Linked DNA regions of Styela clava. The protein of the gene in region 3 interacts with the protein of the main gene of each other region in a pairwise test. Links are inferred from orthologs where the notes say so. Each region holds a gene or a part of one and is shown on either strand. Other genes may lie near its edges. The genes, in order: rho GTPase-activating protein 26-like, small ubiquitin-related modifier 2-A-like and fidgetin-like protein 1.

Region 1 (7,332 bases), on a different chromosome or scaffold from region 3:
TGATGGAAGATGCAGTTAGTAAACTGTACATGTATGGTTCATGTTCATCATTGAGCTGTGTTGTGACTGGGAGTCGAATCAGGTTTAACTTGCTGCTGTTATAATTATGCTTGTTTATTTTTAATCTGAACTAAACGCAAAAATATTAAACTTTCTAATGTTTGATAGTTTTTGTTAAAATATCCTGCAGCATCAAACTAGTGAGTTCACAGTTTAGGTAGTGGTTTGTCAATTTGTATTGATTTGAATTTTCGAATTCAGCACAGATACTGACATATTGGTTTAAACTATAGTGTCATTTCTGATCCTATTGGAGGGGAGAACTGCTGTTTTGAGCCCCAATATCACAATATTTAAATTGGTGTATGAACTTCGACTGTTGGCAAAATTGCACCATATTTGAAGTTTTGATTCAGTCTTTACTTTAGATTCAATATAAGGTTATCAAACAAATCTAAGTTTTTAAAAATAGAATCCTATATGACTATTAAGGTTATATTTTCTCTTTTGGTTATATATGTATGTCAGCAACCTTGAATCTGCCTGCATCTATTATTGTCTTTTTAAGTTTGTTATTTTGCCATTTTTGGACATTGTTATAAAGATTTCAAATCTTATTAACAAAATCTTTTTATGTTATTTATATAACCTCTCTCTATGTTATTGTCTGGATTTTTATGATTTCCTTTTAATTTTTCTATCCTGACGACTCCATTAAAACAAAAAATTGTGCACTGTTTGGCGGTCCCCGGTCGGATTTCAGCGATCAGATTATCAGCGAAGTGAGGAGTTTTTTCATGAGGAAGACAGTACAGGTAGTAATGCAAACGATTTAATAATACTAATTTGTGTCCAGATATTCATTGTTTCATCTTCAAACCTGTTCCGTGCATTATATTTCAGTCTCTTCATTATGGAGAAAGTGCTTTGTCGATAACATTCTAAAGGCTAAATTCTTTAACTTTGGAAACTGCTCATTGCTCCCAATATTATCTATGTTTTAGATTATATTATTTTTTACGAGGCACAGGAGGTATCGTGGCGATATTTATTAAATTCCCTGACATACATGTAGCAATTTTTGTCTTAATGATTTAAGCTGGTTATATATAAAAGGGAGGGCCAGGGAGGGTATTAGTAGGCATAGCCAACCTGGGATAATAGAATCTCATTTGATTTTTAGTTGTCTACGAAGCTTGTTGAGATATTTTCAGCGGATATCCCAAAGGAAATAATAGAATCAATTTGTGGAAGTTTGAAGTCATTTAAGGCTGTCAAAATTTAAGAACCGACTTGAGCTAGGTAACAATATAAATGTTAGTGATGTAACACTATTTCAGAAGATCTTTTTTGGTTATTTTTATCACAAAACAATACCAAGTGCGATTTTTTGGTTACGCTATATCACTAATTGTTACCTCTACTAGCACACAGGCCACAGATAATAAGGCCTGGGATGATAATGGCCCTGGATTTGGACCGTCCTGGTTTAGTTCATGCTCTTTGGATTACTCTCATACACAATACTGTAAAAATAACATTCTCTAATTGGACAAATATTTTGAAAGCTCATCTTAAATTATGATTCATGCTTTAGGAATGGAAAATTTTAAAATATATGTTTAATAATATGACAAATTTTGCCTGACTATTATGGCTTCAATTTGAATTTGTTGTACTTAATCTGACTTGCTACAGAACAATATTAGTTAATTGTTGAGTCCTCACATGTTTATATGAATTTGGTTGATAAACATAATTGAATTTTGAATTCTTGCTTCAATAAATATATCATGCATAATTACATGAATTTCAAATTTGAAAAGACCAATTTTAGTTTGGTAAAGTTTATTGTTTGTGATCAATTGCTTTGGAATCGCGCCTAGTGTCTAGTGTTATATATTATTTTTGACAAAGAGGAATGGTGTTAATTAATACATGAAATGTTAATTAGTTGCTAAAATGCAAACTTGTCACTTCTAGAGGCATCAGATGCACGGCTGTCTGTACTGCTATGTTTCATTGCTTTTGACCTGCTATTTTTTGCATAGTGGAGGTCATTTGATTCAATTTTAAATAAATTACTGTAATAAATTTGAGAAAAGTCTGAAACTTATTGCGCCAATATAACTATTGAATGTCTCTTCAAGTAACCAAGTTTTATTGTCATAGCAATATGATGAAACTTCCTTAACCTTCTTTCTTAAAATTGAGTGGGAAATAAATTTCTGAAGATTCCATTTTTTTTGCCCAATTTTTTTTGGTGTGCAGTGATTTCGTCATATTACATAGGCAAAACGAGAACCTAATTTTTTATTTGTTACTTCCGAATAGACCAAGTAATCAGAAATTTTTTATTGGCTTCAGTAGTTATGATCAATATCATGATTTTATGATGTCATTTTTCTAGCCAAGTCTTCCCCTACTTGTATTCATGTATATTCAATCTAATGACTTATTTAAACAATCAACAATCAAGTATATGCTTCAATGAAAAATATTATATTGGTTCATGACAAGTTGAAGAAAACACCGGTAATTATCGGTATGATATTCACAAGTGTTTTGCTATGCTATGGATAGTTATTCTGTTGCTTAATTTGTTATCATGAAATGAATGTTTCATGTTAAAAAAACAAGATGTGGGCTACGCTGATATCAAACTGTGAGTCACATTTCCCCCGCATTGCATTTAGGCTGATTTAATTGCAAAAAATCTTTTGCTGTGTTGTTAGTCAAATCAAGCATCCAATTTTTATTGAGAATACGTACAACTTAAAAAATATGCCCATTTGTACAGGATTTTATATGAGGTGTAATTAGAGGTAGTTTGCAGGTTTTTAAAAATATGACTTACCGTATATGGATGTACTATCGATAATTAAAGTTGGAGTTCTTTTGAAATCCCTGAATGTTCAACTACGGTAAGTCATCAGGATGTTCCTTGTTATTAACAACTGTGTTGAATGTTTCAAAATTTTTTATCTCCCTTGAGGATAAACACAATGTCTGTTTCTGCATCATCCTGACATGCATGGTTTCCTTGTTTTTGAGTTGTTAAATTATTGGTGTAAAGATATTGGCACTTTTGCAGCTGTTGGAGAATGTTTGACTTGTTTCTAGTATTAATTATGTTGAGCTGTTTGTCAATTCATGCTTTAGTCATGATAAGTTGATAACCATAAATTTAGCCTCGATGCTTTCCATACTTTTATTACATAATAGTGGCCAAATTGTATGTATAATTTTTCAAAAAAATACTTACAGCAATAGAGAGAGTTAAATAGGACATACTTCAAGGTTAATGTGATTTTAATGAATTATTAAGTTCAAGCAAAATACGGTGGGCCTGTGTTATGCTGCGTATTCCTAAGTTGTTGAACATTTTTCTCGTCTGAATTAATCTACTTTTTCTATTTCGAAAATATCAAACAAAATATAAGTTACAGATAGTTATCACCAATTAATATGTTCACATTTCATTCGGGAGATAAGCAATAAATTCCCAATAAAAACTAATTTTAGAAATATTAATTATGCACATTGTCAAATCTGTCATGTTTACAACTTTAATTTGCAGTGATTGAGTATTATCAATTAGAAATGTCTACATCTACTTTATTAATCTCTGTCCATTATTGTTTTTGATGCATGTGCAACATAAATATATGAAAAAAAGGGAGTAGTCCTATTGTTTGGATTCATTACTCTTTATGACTATTTTTCGAGAACATTTTGAAGGATATATTTTTATTTGATAAAAAGTAAGCAATTAGGTAAATGTTTGCAAACATAGGACATTGTTTTTCGGTATTTACTTTGTTTACCGTTTTAATAGGTGATCACCAGCACTGAAATTCTTGTGGTATATCATATTGCATTATTAGGGCTCAAATATATTGAATAAAGTTAGATAGGAAGGAAGTACACAAAGGGCTGTGGTTTTGTTTAGCAAATTTGCACATTGAAATTAGTCATCTGTATCTAAATAACTCCTGTTGTTTGCAATTTCTCTATGCTGTCTATTCTGTTTTTTTTATTTAATAAATACTGCACATACAGGCAAAATGTTCTTATTAAGAAAGCAGTAACTTTGATAGTCTGCATTCAAAGCAACAATTTCAGATAATTATACTGTGAAATTACCGAATCAATACCGAATTTTATTCAAAATATATTGTCTGGATATCTCATGTGGGAGCCGGTAATAGGCCTGGAGTTTGTGTCTTTGAGCTTTCTAACATAACAATTATTGAATATACAGTTCTGCAGATTAAAAATAATAGACTTATAAATGCAAAACTGATTTTGAAATCTTGGAAAACAAGATGGTTCTTCATCCATTGGAATTTTCTGAATGTTTTCTTGATTCTCCTTGGTTTCGTCAAAGCATAAAAGAATACGAAGATGAATTGGAAAGGACAAATTCACAAATAAAGTCTTTAATCAAGGTGAATTTTAATTCTTTTGATAGCTCTCCTTTTCTATAACTCCACTGTTGATACTTATATGTATATTAATGCACATACTATAGTGCAAAAAATTTGTTTATAAAAACAGAGTCATTTTACATTTTGTCAATTAATATTTCATATGAATAACCTAATCTCTTTTCATGGAACAGTATGTTTATTTATGAGTCTTCGTTAGACCATGATCTAACGAAAGCTCATAAATAAACTTGCTATTTCGTGGGAAGAAATTATGTTATTCATATTTATCTTTATATACTATCTTGTTCGAGCATCCTTGTGGCAACTGACACATACCGATCCGCAGTAGAAAGTAAACAAGGAGAAAGGACTTGCAGTTCAGTACACAATGCCCAAGCCTAGTACACTACATATTGGCACTTCTAATATTATATAGCAAATATTCTTCCCCCAGTTTATGCGACTACAAGTTATTAACTACCGGTAATTAAAATTTAAATAAGCTAAAATTAATCTTTTCCAGGATGCGAAGGCCATGTTGCAGGCCTCACGTAAACAAGGAGAAACAATGCAGGCATTCAGTGAAAGACTGAAAAAATTTCAGTTTGAAATCATTGGAGAAAACTTGACAGATACGGAACGTGGAATTGGTGTGTTGATTATAATTCAAACAAACTAATACAATTGACTATAACTATATTCTTAAGGTGTGAATTTCTTTGCACATTATATTCGCTGGTTGATCAAATATTTGAATAAACTATTATCATACTACTAATATTGTCTCTAGTATGATTCACAGAGTTTATTATTTAAGTTCTATCACTTTAATGATACTTTATGTAGCGATTATTTTCACCAAAATTTATCAAGCACTCTTCTGCATGTGGGATGATTTCGCTTTAGTTTAAAATTTGCTTCAGTTTGAGTTCGGATCATAATTATGATAGTTGGATGGGTGAGTGTTGCAAATTGCAAAGAACGATCATAAGTCTATACTGGGTGAATAAGTTTTAATGTACTTTTGGCCTATAGTTGAGCTAATTTTCACTTTCCATTTCAGCTGGCTCTTTGAAAGAGTTTGGAATGATGCTTGAGGAAATAGAGGAGGAATGGACGAGAACAATTGAAAGATCTGAATTACAGTTAATACAACCACTTGAAAAGTGAGCAATTTTCTTTGTATTTTACTTTCATGTGATTTGATTTTCTTCGAATAAGGCTCTGCACTATGTAAATAAGTCATTATGGACAGCTTTTCAAATTCATGCGAGGATTCATTTTCCATATCAGAAAATTTGTCTCAATTTACGAAATTGTATGTATTTGAGCTATTCACTGTCATTCTAATGATTCTATTCATAATTTTAGGAGAAACGTTTACCCACTTCGAATCTGTTTAGTGAGATCACTTCCTTTTTTCTTATTTGGGAAAGTTACAATTGTTTATTCCTGTCCCAGGTTTCGAAAGGAACATATCCATGGATATAGAGACGCCAAAAAAGGTTTTGACAAAGCTAGTGAAAGATACTATAAACAAATGGAACAGACATTGGGATTGTCTCACAAGAAAAAGGAAAATTTATTATCAGTGAGTCATTTTTAAAATTAGATATGAAAATTTTATAGTCTTATAATAAAAATTAAAAGCTCTAAAACAAATTTTCAATTTAAATTAAATTGATTCTGTCATGTTAGATTTTGTGTTGGGGTTCTCATTATATTCAAATATTTGTCGAAAATATAACAATTTTATTTAAACAGCAGCTGATATAATAAAGCAGTTCAAAGTTCAACCAGTGATAAAATATTATGTGCAAGTGCAATGGAAATGTACACAAATTTGATAGGATTGCAGTTTTAATATTGCCAGGAAGTTGTTGAACAACACCAATTATCTCATAGAGAATACAAAGCTTGACAAAAATAATAAATTAGGATGTTGTTTTTATGATTCAACTCAACAAATTTCATATTCATCTCGAATAACTATTGAAAAGCTTTGTATTGACTTGACAATATTGAATCACACTGTGTTATCATTGTATGTAAAGTATATTTTTGATGTGAGTCAATCTAAAAAACTCACTTTTATTTGTATATATCGGACTGAAGTTTAAATTTTTATTGTAGGAATCTGACAATGAACTTGGAATTCAAAAGAAAAATTTCCACTCTTCCTCTCTCAACTATGTTTATAAATTGCAAGAAGTTCAGGAACGAAAAAAATTTGAATTTGTTGAACATTTACTCATGTTCATGCAGGTAAGTGCCCTTTGCCCATTATCAGAAGTAGTCTTCACTGACATATTTTGATTTTATTTTAAGTTTTTTTCTGAATTTGTCTATTCAAGCTGATATTTAATTCGGTAACCTAAGAATTGATTCTATTTATATACAGTAGTTTTCCAGACAAGTTTATTCTGATTTCAACTTTCAGGTTTACTTCAATTTTTTTCATCAAACTCACGAAACTGCCTTCGATTGCAAGGAATATATGAATGATATTCAGGTATGTTTTACAATCTATAATATCTTGCTTGTTTTCCTATTGAAATACAGATTTTTGGCTAATACATTATAGGGGGGTGATAATGCAGTGTGTGTATCTTTGCTATTTCATACATGAAGAAAATAATCATGTAATATAAATTCTTTTTGACTTGAATATTACATAATGCTTGTGTGAAACATGGGAGGCTCTTGAATTTTTATTTGTTTTATTAGAAAATACAAGTATAGTGTATGCTTTGTATGAAAGTTTTCTGGAAGTTTGATGTATCTGAATTGAACATATTATACAGGTTGCATTTGCAATATAATCACTGTTATCGAATTTGATCTTATAGTTTGTTGTGTGCCTCGGGCAAATAAGAGTAAAACTTTTTATCTTGTTTTA
Region 2 (6,148 bases), on a different chromosome or scaffold from region 3:
TTGCACCACCTTATTTGTTTCTAAACCTCAGTGCAATGTTTTCACCACATATCTGTCCGAAGTTAATGATAAATGAAAGAAAGTAACCAAAAATATAAAACTTCAATATCATCAATTGATTGACATAATGCCATAGCATAACGCAAAAATGGAAAGTATATCTTGAAGACAAAATAACATTATCTGACTATCCGTAAACCAGTAACTCAACTGTAAAACGGAATCCAATGAACACAAATTATAATTAAATTTACATTACGCATTTTGTGTGTGTAACACCTTAGTTTGCACTGGACTACAGATTATTAGACCAGCGCACTGATGATTAGGAACAATGTAGATCTATATTTACCTACGTTTCCAGAGTGATTCTGTATCCTTATTTCTCAATCCGTGTGAGATATATTATCTCTAAAATAAACAAAAATCCCTACTCGATACAACTAGAGGCACGCATTCCAAGCCTGGCACCCAAGCACAGCCATCTGGCACGCGAGCGTGTTCTTGGAAACGTGGTCCTCCCTTAGATAAGATTTGAATACTTATCCTGGGGGTGAGAAAAGCCGATAAGACAGCTTAAACATAATATAGCGAACCATGGCCCCTCCAGTTACCATTCCATGTCGGGTATGGGACTAGTTAGTTATTGGACCTTACAATTGGACACGTCAGTGTACATAACGATCGTTTCAATATTATGCTGTTGTTCTTGTTAGTTTTCTCTTTCGTCATGATGAAATCGCTGTTCTCTACGAATACTATACCAATTGCTTCTAAATTTTCAGCGGTTAAAGATTGTTTTTTTTTGTCAAAAGGCTATTGTTTTTACTTATTTCAAAAATTTTGTGGACTTCAAGAGATTCGTTTTTTCATGTCAGAATAAAATAGCGACACCTTGTGACGTATCCATATATTTGAGCACAGCTCTCTTGTATGTTTTCGGAAGCATGGACTTGATGGTGGAGAAAGCCGTATACCCGACTAGCGGTTACGTGAATCATTCTACGGCGACGTGGAGTCCAGCAATGCTCTTGCACATTACCTATTAACTGAATATTCCGTTAACTATGATATTACTATCCCCGCATGATATTCGGACCTGCGAACATACGTTTTCAGAGGTGCGGTAGCGGGCGTATTCCTAACGCTTAGCACGATGAGCCACACCACCGCGCCATCTTTAGATAAATGTCGTATTATCTGATGAAACTTAATGTTTTTGTTTTATCTTCGTTTGTTAACAATCCGTTCTTTACTTAAACTAGGGTTGCCATATGCTATATTTTTCCCTGACATGTCCGGGATTTCAGTAGTCAAATTTGCGCCAGGGAGAAATGTTAAATGTCAGGGATTTTCGAATACAGGGAATCTCTGCCACAAATCGTCGAGTTTTTCATATATCGCGGATACACGGAATCCTATTTCCTAAGATCGTGAATTGTCAGCATTTTGTAATCGATATTTTGGTTGGACTACCTTTACCTGTACTTTATCCCGTTCTAGGGCTTAGTAGTGCTAAGGATTAAGCAACAAGTTGGCTCTTTTCGTTTTGCTGTGTATGTATTCTTTTCTCACGACGTTTTTCACGTTACAAAGAAATATATTGTAGGAAGTTGTAGATCGCGTGCTAGTTTGGCTTGCTTATTTATTATCTACATCCGCATATGGAAGTGAATTACTGTTCTCAGTGATGAACTTTTTTTAAGTATCGTAAAAGAAGTACCTGACTGATGAAGGTATTAGTTTGTGTATTTCGTTGAAGGTTACAAAATATGGGGCTCCCGAAGTATGCGAACCAAGATGGTGGACATCGGAATGTAATATTTGTACTAGGTTAGGGTTAGGCCATAATTTTAGGTATAAATACTACGAGAGGCTCTTGGCTAGTCTTCGAACTGATAATAGGACTAACATAAGGAAAATTGGAAAAAAATTATCGCCTAACCCTAACCTGTTACCCATGTTACGTTCCGATGTCCGCCATCTTGGTTCGCATACTTCGGGAGCACCCAAAATATAAACCTGATATAAAATTTATGTCAACGATAATACAGTAGCAGAAGTCTCACTGAAATAGCAAAAGAAAATTGATAAAAATATTTTTGTCGGACTAATATTTTCTTGAAATGTAATTTAATACCTGTTTAAAAGGTTTATTATCCTGCAGGTTTTGCTTTGAAAGTAGCAAAGCATTGTTTTTAAAAAGAATAAATTCATATTTGATTTAATACATTTTCACAAATTCATTGCCGAGCGGAGGAATTTTGCCATTTTATTTAGTCAATTTTGGCACGCAAATCAAAAAAGGTTACCCAATGCCCACCAGTGGTGAGCTGTGGCCGGAACGACATTCCGGTTGTATAAGTTCCCCCGACCTTTCACCCCGTGAAAATTCATTCTATACCTTCCTAATGAGGTTTGTATTGAATTGCTATGAATACTTCAATAATTTCACACAAACATATTTCATATATATAATTTATTTGCAGTTCTGTAAACGTCCGCGTCGTGTTCGGAATATATTACATTTTTGTGAATTAGGTGCGTTCCGGTTGTTACGATTTTTCCAGCTCATCACTGATGCCCACCCTTTATATGTTTATGGATGTGTATATTTTATGATTAGTGATCAATAATGCTGTAACTGTACTGTGTCAACTGTGCTTTAAATATCAATAAAAAAATTATCAAATAAAATAAGACACAAATAAAAAATACTCATGAAACATCATTATTTATTGTCGAGGTCCTTAAATCCCGAGGGGGCATCTGACTCTGATGCCCAAGTTGAATCGCTTCATTCTCGGAACATTTCGATCTATTCACCAAACTCGGTGTGCCATAGCGATGCCTATGCGCAATCACCGTGTTCATATATTCGAGCATTGCTTAATTGTTTTACTATGTATACAGTAATAATATCATTATTACAAAATTTACCGAACAAATGAATCACATGGACATCTAGTTATTTGGTTTGATAAATTTAACGATTGAATGTAGAACACGTGGGACGAGTCGGACACGTAAGACAAGTGGAACACGACATTTTGAAGACACCGCATAAATCGTGTGTTTTTGCTTTGACAAATTAAATGAACTTTCTTTCCCACTCTCTCTCTCTACATCTACAATAACGCGTTCATAATTTAGTTGTATTGTCTGCTAGGCTTACCCCTACTTCCACCTTTATCAGTGACGTCTGCCGGCATAAGATAAATTTACAAACAAGTCGTAAAATGCAATTCAAGAAAACAACATTCGGAGTTAAAAGCCTTTCTCTAAGATAACAGCAAACAAACTGTTAGCAAAATATCACTCCACATGTGATAGTATAACCACAATCTATGCCATCATATGTTCGTGTCGCTGGTTCGAATAATTTCTCATTTTTATTTTTAATATTTATTTAGTATATAATACTGTAAATCTTCTAATTATATATCCCGTGTATATGCATTTATCAGCAACTGCCACTGTTAATAATGCACGTATAGTTTGCTTTTGTCTTATAATAAAATGAGAATTTACATATTCGGTCACACTTCATTCGGCAATAATTGTTTTTCCGCCATATTCTGGAATCCTGTTCAAAACTGTGCAAATTTTTATCATCATTATGAACGTCATTATCATTGCACTGATAGATATGATGAATTGAACAAGTTTATATGCTCCTGTATATGTGATCGAGAATCTCCATTTCCCGTTCTTTGACATGGCTTATGTACACTCTCCTCTCTGTTAAAATTAGAGGAAGTTACTTTATTTCGTTGTTATCTTAATATTGGAACCCAGTATTTATAAAGTGAAACTATTGGGCATTTGTGCAAGTTTAATATGGTATACTCTTCCAAAAACCACTGGATGGGATAATTGGGTCTAAGCACAAAAAGCACTCAATTTTACTTTGTTTTGCTCGTTTGCATTTTGCTGAAGTGAACTCGTGGGTTGTTTCGACTCGCACAGTCCGCTGAAATTCTCATTGTTTTGCATTTTACTGAACGTGAAGTCGACCAATGCATCGTTTCGAGTTCGACCCGCACTGTTTGCTGAAATTTTCATTGTTTTGTATTTAAAAGTTATTGCCTAATTTTATATCGTGTATGTTTCCGGGACCCCTGCAATTTTTTCTCCTTTTGTGGTTCTGTTGTATTGATTGATTGATTGATAGTCGTCAAACCAGCATTTGCCGGTAACCTAAGAAAAGGCTAACGAGAACAACAACATACCAACAAAACTATCCATTGGTACACTTCAAGTCAAGTTTTTGTAATCAATATTCTGCCCCGGAAGATGGCGCACTAATTCCGCGCCGTCGTCCACGCTTTGTGATGGTTGTTGTTGCGCTGCGGCTCAATTCAGCTTGACTTTACTGTTAACGAAATACAGAAGTTGTGTGAATTGTTCAGGCTTGTGATGGCTGATGCAAAACCTAAGGATGTTAAGCCTGACGGCGATCAACATATAAACCTAAAGGTGTCAGGACAAGATGGCTCGGTAATTCAATTCAAGATTAAACGTCGCACGCCAATGAAAAAACTGATTACTGCATATTGTGATCGGCAAGGAGTTCAAATAGAAGCCATGCGGTTTCGTTTTGACGGGACGGCTATTTCGCTCGAGGACACCCCAGAAAAGCTTGAAATGGAGGACGATGATACAATAGATGTTTTCACTCAGCAAACTGGTGGAAACCTGTAAATATTTTCCAAGCAGCTTGTCTGGAATGTTTATACTGAGAGTATGATGATTATCTTACCTTTCTGCCTTTATAGACCATCAAATGATGGTGGTTCCCACCGAGACTGAGATTTAATGGTAATTTACTGACAAACTGCTCAAAAATGCCATGGACAAATGGAATACTCTCTTGTCCAGTTGTCTGTTTTGTGATCTATCAAATGGCTATTTCGGTATTCAGATGAGACTATGATATATTAGAATATGATACCGCATACGCATAATATTTCGATATGTTGGCTAATTATTGTATTCTATTGTCAGATACAGTAGATATGACATTACAACCAAATACCCAGGTACTAGTAATGTTGAATATGAGTTAAACATAATATAACATATTATTTGGCTGACACTGAATAAGGCTTTGAAAAATAATCATTATGAACAACTGGAAAGCAGAGTAATGTAAAGTTGTTATAATTCTATGTTTACATTAATTGCTGAATTGTTCTGTTCAATCATATTTTTACAAAAATGAAAATAGTATTCCCATTTATTTTGATATTTGTTTCCAATTTAGACCTTTTTAAAATTGCTGAATTGTGGTATCAAGTTTTTCTTTCTAGGCTATGTTAGTATGTTTCTTTTAAGTAGTCCTGTTACAATATCATAGAAATATGGTGTTTTGGTTGAGTTTTTATTATCAAGTGACACACATTATTATAAGCAAATAAACCTTGAAATCCTGAAATCAGTCGATTCAACAACTGCTATTATTTGGTAATGAAATATTCCTTGTGCTGAAGAATAAAACTGCATTGATTCGAAGATGTTTCATTTTGTCATTTATTCTATTTCCATTTTCTGTTCATTGTTTATAAAATAATGTCTGTCTGTCATATTTTAGTAAATTTAGATTAAAATCACTATATATAGCATGATATAACTGCTAAATGCTTTGTATATCACATAGAATAATTAGTCTTTTTTGTAACAAGTCATGCCATTTCACATTTATTTGCAATACTTTCTCTATTTCATCTCAATATTCTCGTAAGAAAAAAATTATCACTGGCAAGCCATATAGAACGGAAGAAGAATTGGTAAGATATAGCCGATTCCTTAGGTAGTGATTGGCTGTTCCTTATATTTGATTCATAGAATGCCAGTGTGTCAAATCAAAAGTTTTTTCCAAGTTGTTTCTATCTGAATGATACAGTTTAATAAACCCTTTTTTGGTTGACTTAGAGAATGACTGAAGTGATTTTAGCTTTTTACGAATTTAAATAAATTAGTTTAATGTGGTATATTACTATCCGCATTGTGACCAAAGTTTTAGATGGCACTTATGCCATGAATAACATCACTGCATTAAGTTTGAATGGTTTGCTTGCTACCAGTTAAAATGCACATTGAGTAAAATGTAACGATGTGAAGTTTGCCAATCAGTACTGAAGTTATG
Region 3 (7,868 bases):
CAATCTTGGATCAATCTCATCTATGTCCATCTCATTGTTGCCAGTTTTTTGTCCACATTTCCGAAGAAGAGACTGAGAAATTAGAAACGAAAAAATTTAATAAAAAGGATCATTAACCCCACTTTTGAAGTTTCTATTTATAAAATCACTTTTATAGATTTAAAAATATATAAGAAAAGAACTATAACGCCATAATAAACAACGGCAAGAGAAGAGAATACAGCTATAGCTTCAAATTTTATGCTTGATGGGGAAAAGACTCGAGTGTTGACAAGGGACACACTAATAGACTTGGCGGGACGGGTCGTGGCTGTTGCGGCTAACACAAATATCAAACTTCACAGACTCACCTATCTCGTTTGTATTACAAATCCTATTCATTATACTCTCTACAAATAAACACAACTTACACAATCTCTTTCATTCTGTTCTCTCTGATCTTTTGAGCTCGGTGGAACAAACTTCCCAAAACAATTATTACGAGGTCGAGCACCAAGTGATTTCTTCCCTGCAGGAATGTTGTTGTTTGAGGTACCTGCAAGAGAAATAATCATCTGTTTTTTTAGGCTCTCTAAACCAGGCTTTAGGCAAGGTGCCCGAAGAGTTACTATCGCTATACACTGTGTTTTCCTACATTATCTATGAATAAGCATAATGAGATCTGTGCAATTTTTTGCTGTTGCCATGGAAACGAAACTTCACTCCGGACTTTCAATGAAACACACATTACTAGGGTGGAAGGATGACCCACGTCAGAAATATTAACAGATTGGTTTAGCCGTTTAGACGCTACAGCTTCGACACATACACAGACAGAAAAAAACGACAGAGACTAAGGGTCTCCTATAGCGGAAATTCAATAGTTCTATCAAAACATTCCCATCTATAATCATCTACCTTGTGGAGATGTATGTTTTCCTTTCTTCTTATCAATCTCATATTGCTCTTTCGCTGATTTGAAATGAAATTTACGCTCGGGTTCGACTCCAGAGAATAAACCTACCATTTTATAATGATAAAAAAGGTTAAAAAATTAGTTTGGATAACATTGAGATATCTGGCAAGGCTGCTATTTTGTAGATCCCAGGTTCAGGTTAGAGACACAAAACCGCAGGAATGACTAAATTTTCATTTTTGAATTAAAAACTTGAAAAAGTATATACAATTATTTCTAATAATATTGGCTTATAAACATCAGAGCAACAAGTCAATTGACCTTTGATTGATTGCAAGTAGCTACAGCAAAAATAATTACCTTCGTTGTCTCCAACTTCAATATTGTCGTCCGGAACAACACATTTCCTTTTACTTTTTCTCAAAGTTTCTTCAAAAAACCCTCGTTTATTTTCATTTTCTGTAATTTTTCCATCTTTCGGGACTTTTTGATAAATATTAAAAGATTTTAGCCTTTCTTTTGAATTCGAGGTCAAATTTGGACCATTTTTACCCGATTTCGACCCAACTGGGACTATAACATGTTCATTTTTCCTAATTTCATTGTTTTCAGGCTCTGATAGGAGCCTACACTGCTCAAAGGCAGTTTTGACATTTTTTAATTCAAGTAGTTTTGAAGTCGTAAGTCCTGATTGGAATTTCTCAAAGTTTTTCTTATAATCTGGGACTAAAGTTTTCACTGTCTCTTGAAATGATTTAGTGCTGTCTTCACCTGGAATAATAAAGAAAATATGTAGAAATTTTAGGTTATACATTAGAGGAGAAGAAATATGGTCAGATGACAAACATTATTGTGTTCACCAAATTACAATAAGATAACTTGGACTATGTCAAATCAAAAATTTCCAATTTTAGGAATAATCAAGAATATTTCTATTTCAAATTTATACATACAAGGTGTCCATAAAGTCCTTTTACAATTTCAATTTTGTTATGAAGCCAGATCTCAATATATCTTAACCAGGTTCGTTGTTTTTAATTAGTAATTGTTTAAGTATTTTTACTTCATATAATACATCTGTGAGGGCCAAGACAAATATGGTATCGATAAAATCCCCTCATAATTTTGAAAATTGTAAGACTTCATGTAGACCCTATATTATTTTATATCTCCCTAAACGCACACCACTCACCATCTACAATAGTTGAATATTCATTTAATTCCTTCCGAAACAGATCTGAGAATAAATCTAATTCTAATTCCTCAGAATCAAGTTCAAAACACAGTTGGTTTATATTGTCCCTTCGTAATTCAGCTGCCTCCCACGGTGTGATATTTTCTTCATTTAATTTGATTTCCCGTGATCTCCAGGCGGAGTAGTTTGGATTATCAGCTTTTGCCATTGTCAATTTAATACAGTGGTTCTCAAACTTTTTACGCCCTTTTTAGAATTGGTCAAGTTTTGTGCCCCACCTCAAAAATAACTAGCTAACAAATAGTAAGGTGAAAATATGTTTTATTCAAAAAACATGTTGAAAATACGTGGATAGCATCGCAATCTCTAAACCAGGGTTGTTCAACCTTTTTTGCCGAAGGGCCACATTTAGTTTACGAATGATTGCGCGGGCCACTTGACATGGCAGTTATGTTCTAGTTTTCACTATACTGACTACAAGTTGAAAACACAAATGCGTTTTCTGGGCTTCACAGAAAAAAAGACACGAAAACAAATTGAAATACATTGTAGACGATAAAAATAAATTCAGACATCTCTATCCAGCAACAAGGCCCACATAGGGACATAAAAAGGCTTTCGATAGCTGGGTGGTGCTTTTCGCGCGTTTGAACGACGATAAACAATTTTTTTTATTAAAGGTTTCAATATTGGCTCAGATTCGTAAAAGACATTGGGATTTGAATAATACCACGCGGGCCACTTGGAAATCTTCCGCCACAGGTTGGACGACCCTGCTTTAATAAACAATAAAGAAATGTAAATATCCAAATTAAGGCTGGCAAGATCAAATTTAATAATTTTTTTTTATTAGCTTCACACCCTCAAAAAATTGTCTACCCCCCACTCGCAGGGCCTGTTCGACTGTTTAAAAATCACTGATCTAATAAGATTCCAACATTTCCAATAGTTGACAACAAAGTCCCGAGCCTGTGTGTTAAATTCTTCAACAATTTGTTCGACAGTCTCCACCAAAATTTTATTTTCTATGTTAAATTAAATCTCTAGCTAATAAGCTCCTAAGCCCTATGACTGTAATAGCTTAAAAAGAAATATATACAGTTAAATAATGAGAAGAAATACATGAAATCACAAATTTACAGCAATTTTTAGTCAACATAATTTAATCACTCATAAATAAAGAACAGTGCCAAGGGTGGAAATGTGCCCAGGGAAAAAGCAACAAATACATTTGAAATTGATTATATTTGACAAAAAAAATTATTGCTTTTAAAAGCAAATTACATTTCAATGGCTTCTAACAAAGGACTGAGAACCTGGAGCTTTTGATATTTCACTGGAACTGGAATCACGGCTAGAGAAGGTTTCTTCAAACACAATGAAAGACACCTGACGAAGTAGGTTTTTAGGCATTCCTAAAATACTCAATGGAAATGATTTTAAATAGCAACTTACGAGATTCTACTGTATGTATTACATTTCAATGGCTTCTAGTACCGAGTACCATGGAGCTAGGGCCTGGAGCAGTGAAACAAAAATGGATTCTATCAATTTCTTAATGAAAAACCAAATGATGAAATAGCAATCTTAATGCATTGAATGTTTTAAGCATTCCAAGGTGAACAGATACACATTGAAAAGAACAAAGATAACTAACTGCACAAACAGAGAAAAACGAATAAATGTGGACATACACTCAAATCCTCAGGGAAATGGATGAATGGTAATAATAGCTATGAAATTAATAACTGTAATTAATTTGAATATTAACTTTTTCGGCTTTAGTTACCCCTGTCAGTCAAATGCAGAGAATTCAGCTGAATTACCAAGCGTGCAGTAAATAATCCATATTCTATATCAAGATTTTTCAAACTCTGCGTCCCGACCCCACCCGTGGGTTGCAAAATGGGGGTCGCGGTAAAATCTTTTTCTACAATTCTCATGTTAATGCAAAATATTGATCAAATTTGAAAACAGTACTGAGACCAGAATACTATCAAGATTCCATCTTTTGTGCGAGAATATGCATGCACATCGGTCTCATTAAAGATATTATCAGTTTTTTGAAAAAAATATTTTCTGAATTATTAAATTTTACTTCATTTTTAGTATAGTTCCTTGATGGTAATGAAAAAAATTGGCAGAAAGTGAGCTGTGATGAAAAAAATAATCCTATACTATAGCGTGGGCTGCGTGGCACATACAATAAAGCAAAACGAAAGTAACAATTTCTTCATCAGTATTGAATTCACCAGAACTTGAAATACTCTTGAATGCACAAGTTATTATCAAAAATAATTTTTCTTCTTCATTAAAATAACCATACTATTGAAAAACAGTAATATGAATATTCTATGAAGTTATGAACAACACAAAATTTTTCAAAATGAGACGAGATTGGTATAACATATGGGATTTCAAAAGCGTTGGCTTATAGATAATGCTAGAATATATCCCATCTAGTAAAAGGCGATGGAGCATTGATTTGCAGAAATAAATAGACATGCAGTAACCAATGAAGCATGAACTGGCAGAATCAACAAGAATATATCATCACACGTGAAAATCAATGAAGCATAAATTGGCAGAAATAACTTAGCACAGGAGAATCAAAGAAACGTGGACTGGCAAAGTCAACTCATAAACTAACATGTAGGAAATCAGTGTATTAAAGTATGAATACCCAAAATCTTGAAAAATGAAGTTGGACTGGCAGCATACACGCTTCATTGCTTCCCGAGTAGAAATCAATGAAGTGTAAACCGACAGAATCAACATTAAGAATTCAATGTAATAGAGTACGAAATGGCGGCACTATATAAAACTTATCTTGACTTGTGAAAAGGAAGTTGAACTGGCAGCAAACACGCTTCATTGCTTCCTGGGTAAAAATCAATGAAGTGTTCACCGACAGAATCAACTGGCAAATCACTACTGTGCCACAAACCTATTTTAAATTATTGAAAAATTCGGTTTCATCTGTGTAACTATAGTTAATTTTGACTGTAGTGAATGAACGATAATACTGTTTTTTGTTACTGCAGGGGAATTTACATTCTGAATATTATAGTGAAAGTGTCTATATTTGCAGTAATAGTTTTCGCTTGTCTTGTAGTTTTCCCCTTGCATGAAAAAGAATGGGCCACAGAAGAAAAAAGGTTAAGAACCACGGATCTAGCGGCATTGATGCTTCATTGCTTCCTGAGTTAAAGACTAATTTGGAAGGCACCAAAGAGTTTCCAGTTTATTGACTAAAAAGTTAATTATTTAAACACAGTTAGCTCCTCGCTTTTGCTAATTTATGTTGTTTTGATTGTAGATGAGTGCTTAGACTGCCTGCGTGCTCAATAACAATGTTGCATGTTTGGCAGTAATATTGTCCACTAGGTGTCATACTATTTGCAAAATCACCAGGCAGAGATGGTTTAAAATTTATGCTCGAATTCGCGATTTGTGAATCAGGCTGTGTGAACGCCAAGTGAGCTGCTGGGTTATAGCTATAAGCTGGTTCGATGGGCTTTTCTTGAATTCCTAAAACTCCGCCGCTGACAAAATGAGTCGGTTTAAAAGGTTTTCTATAAGGTCGATTCCCTCGTTGAACGATCCTAATTCTCTTAGCGTGAGCTTTTCCTGCGTAATGCTGTTTTGCCGTTGGTAAAGATGACATTTCGACTGAGCATAAGCGGCAGAATCTGACAGTGTTTTGTGTGCGATCACCTGTGTCTTTCTCCCACACGAGGCACTCTGGAGTATTTATAGGTGTGGGGAGGTTTTCGGTAATTTTATTTATCTTTCTCTCGATCTTTTTTGTGTCCTCCCCACTCAAAAAATTGTTGACGTTCTTTGCATGAATTTCACTTTTGTAATGGTCATCGGCTTGTGATGGTTGATAGAGTTTAACATTACATACCTTACAAGTTTTAGGGTAGATAGTTCCCTCTTCACTTCCTGTAACCTTTGACCCCTCATTCGTTCCGTTAACGTCAAATCCAAATCCTGGTTCTTGAGCCGCTCCTTCAGATTCTGAGGTTTTCTTTTTCTTCCGTCGAAAATACGGACCACGTCTGAACCAATCGTTTTTTCGTTTCTTGCTGGAAGATTTCTGAAGCCCAGATACCTGGGGTTGGTCCATTAGAGCAGGTATTGGTGTCGGCTCTATGTTTTTCTTTGCCGGAGATGGTATAACCGACGCGGGTTTGGGTCTCAACGACTCTTCTTTCATGGTTTCAACATAACTTGTCTCCCACTGTTGTTTGGCTGTAATTTTTGACTTTAATGGCACTACAGGAGTCGTTACTGCATTCTCCGCAGACTTTTTATCGCCAGTATTATTGTTATTTTCTTCATTCTGAGTTGATGTTGAGGCTGTCGTTTCATTATCCTTTGTAATTGTTGGTTTTGATTTCGTTTGGGGGCACAAAAATCGTTCTTGCGCTTTCATAATTTGTCTATTAACTAAATCAGCCCCATATGATGACACTCTGTTTGTTATTCCTCCTCTGCCTCTTGCAGGTCCTGGCTGTCTCGGAGCTGGAGGAAATCTTCTTCTTTGAGGAGGGTGCATTGACACAGGTTCTTCATGATAACGGTCCCATCCTCCACCGTATGGATTTTCAAGTCCCATTGCATATTCTTCTGCTAGTACTGCTTCGTATTCATGAAGATACGCAGCCGCTTCTAAATCATTCATCAGGGAGGCCGCGCCATGATCTCCTCTATAACCACTGTACCCACCTCCATAGCCATTCATCGCGCGGGGTGGCGGCATTCTTCGTCTCCTGGGAGGTGGAGGACCATAAGCCATATAATCATATTCAAATCCCCTATACATATTCCTTTTGGATTAATCACTAACACTAAAAGACTGAAAGAAGCTCGGAACTCACAAACAACGCCGCGCCGACCTCGCGCTGCTCCCGGAACCGCTGCAAATATGTAAATTCAGTGTTGCCAGATTTAGGGAAAGTCTCTTCTATTACGACTAGTGAGAGAGAGGGAGTTTTAGTTCCAAAAACAATGTTAAAAGAAAAGACAATGTTACAGATTTTTATTGAAACACAGTGCGGTGAAATATTTAAACATAAAATTGTGTAAGTCAGTATCAGAGACTGATCAGACCGCCGTCGGGTGCGGACGTGAAATATCGACGGTGGAATAGCTACTGGAGTAAGAAATATTTGGACGAAAACTTGGAAAGCCGGACGAATATAAACCCTACTGAGAAGATCCATACAAACTTAAATCAAAACGATGCTGTTGGATATAGTACCGAAACGATAAGGATCAGTTCACATCAGATCATGCTGCCTGCGTGGAGTTTATCATGGAGAACGAAGCTGGGAATAACACGAACAGTCAAACGTCAAATGTAACGGATATTTAATGATGAATTCCACAAAAAAGACTAGCCTACTTACACAAACCACATGAATTTTGATTAAAACTAAAGTTGGAACGCCAGGGCGTGGAATGCTCTTGTCATATTTTACTTGGTTTGTTGTTGTTTACTTTTATGCTGTTTTTATTATTGTTGTTTATCGTCCGGTAGACTATTAGTTGAGTGCATTTGTAATCAAGTAAATTTTATCTCATATTGCGCACCGCTTGTTTGTTTGTTGTGTTCTACAATTCTCGCTAGTCCCTTGTACAGATATAGTAGAAATTACACTCCATGTTGAAACTCCACATTCACAGTCAAGTATTTACGCCCGGATTATTTTTCGTGTCTCTCTCTTTTTTTAAATTTTACTTCAATGTGTTGTTTGCTGTGTGGGGTAA

The links.
Region 1: the proteins of fidgetin-like protein 1 (region 3) and rho GTPase-activating protein 26-like interact in a two-hybrid assay, tested with the Caenorhabditis elegans proteins (2 studies listed by BioGRID). The link is inferred for Styela clava from reciprocal best matches to the Caenorhabditis elegans genes figl-1 and T04C9.1.
Region 2: the proteins of fidgetin-like protein 1 (region 3) and small ubiquitin-related modifier 2-A-like interact in a two-hybrid assay, tested with the Caenorhabditis elegans proteins (3 studies listed by BioGRID). The link is inferred for Styela clava from reciprocal best matches to the Caenorhabditis elegans genes figl-1 and smo-1.

Annotation. Positions count from the first base shown.
Region 1 is NC_135260.1:17,983,374-17,990,705, forward strand, and holds the start of rho GTPase-activating protein 26-like, read left to right. Parts: upstream 1-4,246; 5' UTR 4,247-4,328; coding exon 4,329-4,451; intron 4,452-4,956; coding exon 4,957-5,083; intron 5,084-5,496; coding exon 5,497-5,599; intron 5,600-5,894; coding exon 5,895-6,024; intron 6,025-6,566; coding exon 6,567-6,698; intron 6,699-6,873; coding exon 6,874-6,945; intron 6,946-7,332.
Region 2 is NC_135251.1:15,394,436-15,400,583, reverse strand, and holds small ubiquitin-related modifier 2-A-like, read left to right. Parts: upstream 1-4,280; 5' UTR 4,281-4,419; coding exon 4,420-4,704; 3' UTR 4,705-5,597; downstream 5,598-6,148. Other genes in the region: mitochondrial ribosome-associated GTPase 2-like, read left to right, coding at 5,640-5,789. UniProt on the Caenorhabditis elegans protein: Ubiquitin-like protein which can be covalently attached to target lysines as a monomer. Does not seem to be involved in protein degradation and may function as an antagonist of ubiquitin in the degradation process.
Region 3 is NC_135262.1:2,058,004-2,065,871, forward strand, and holds the start of fidgetin-like protein 1, read right to left. Parts: upstream 3,040-7,868; 5' UTR 2,299-3,039; coding exon 2,088-2,298; intron 1,667-2,087; coding exon 1,256-1,666; intron 1,000-1,255; coding exon 898-999; intron 536-897; coding exon 411-535; intron 73-410; coding exon 1-72. UniProt on the Caenorhabditis elegans protein: Has a role in spindle assembly which acts in the progression through mitosis during embryogenesis. Required for fertility.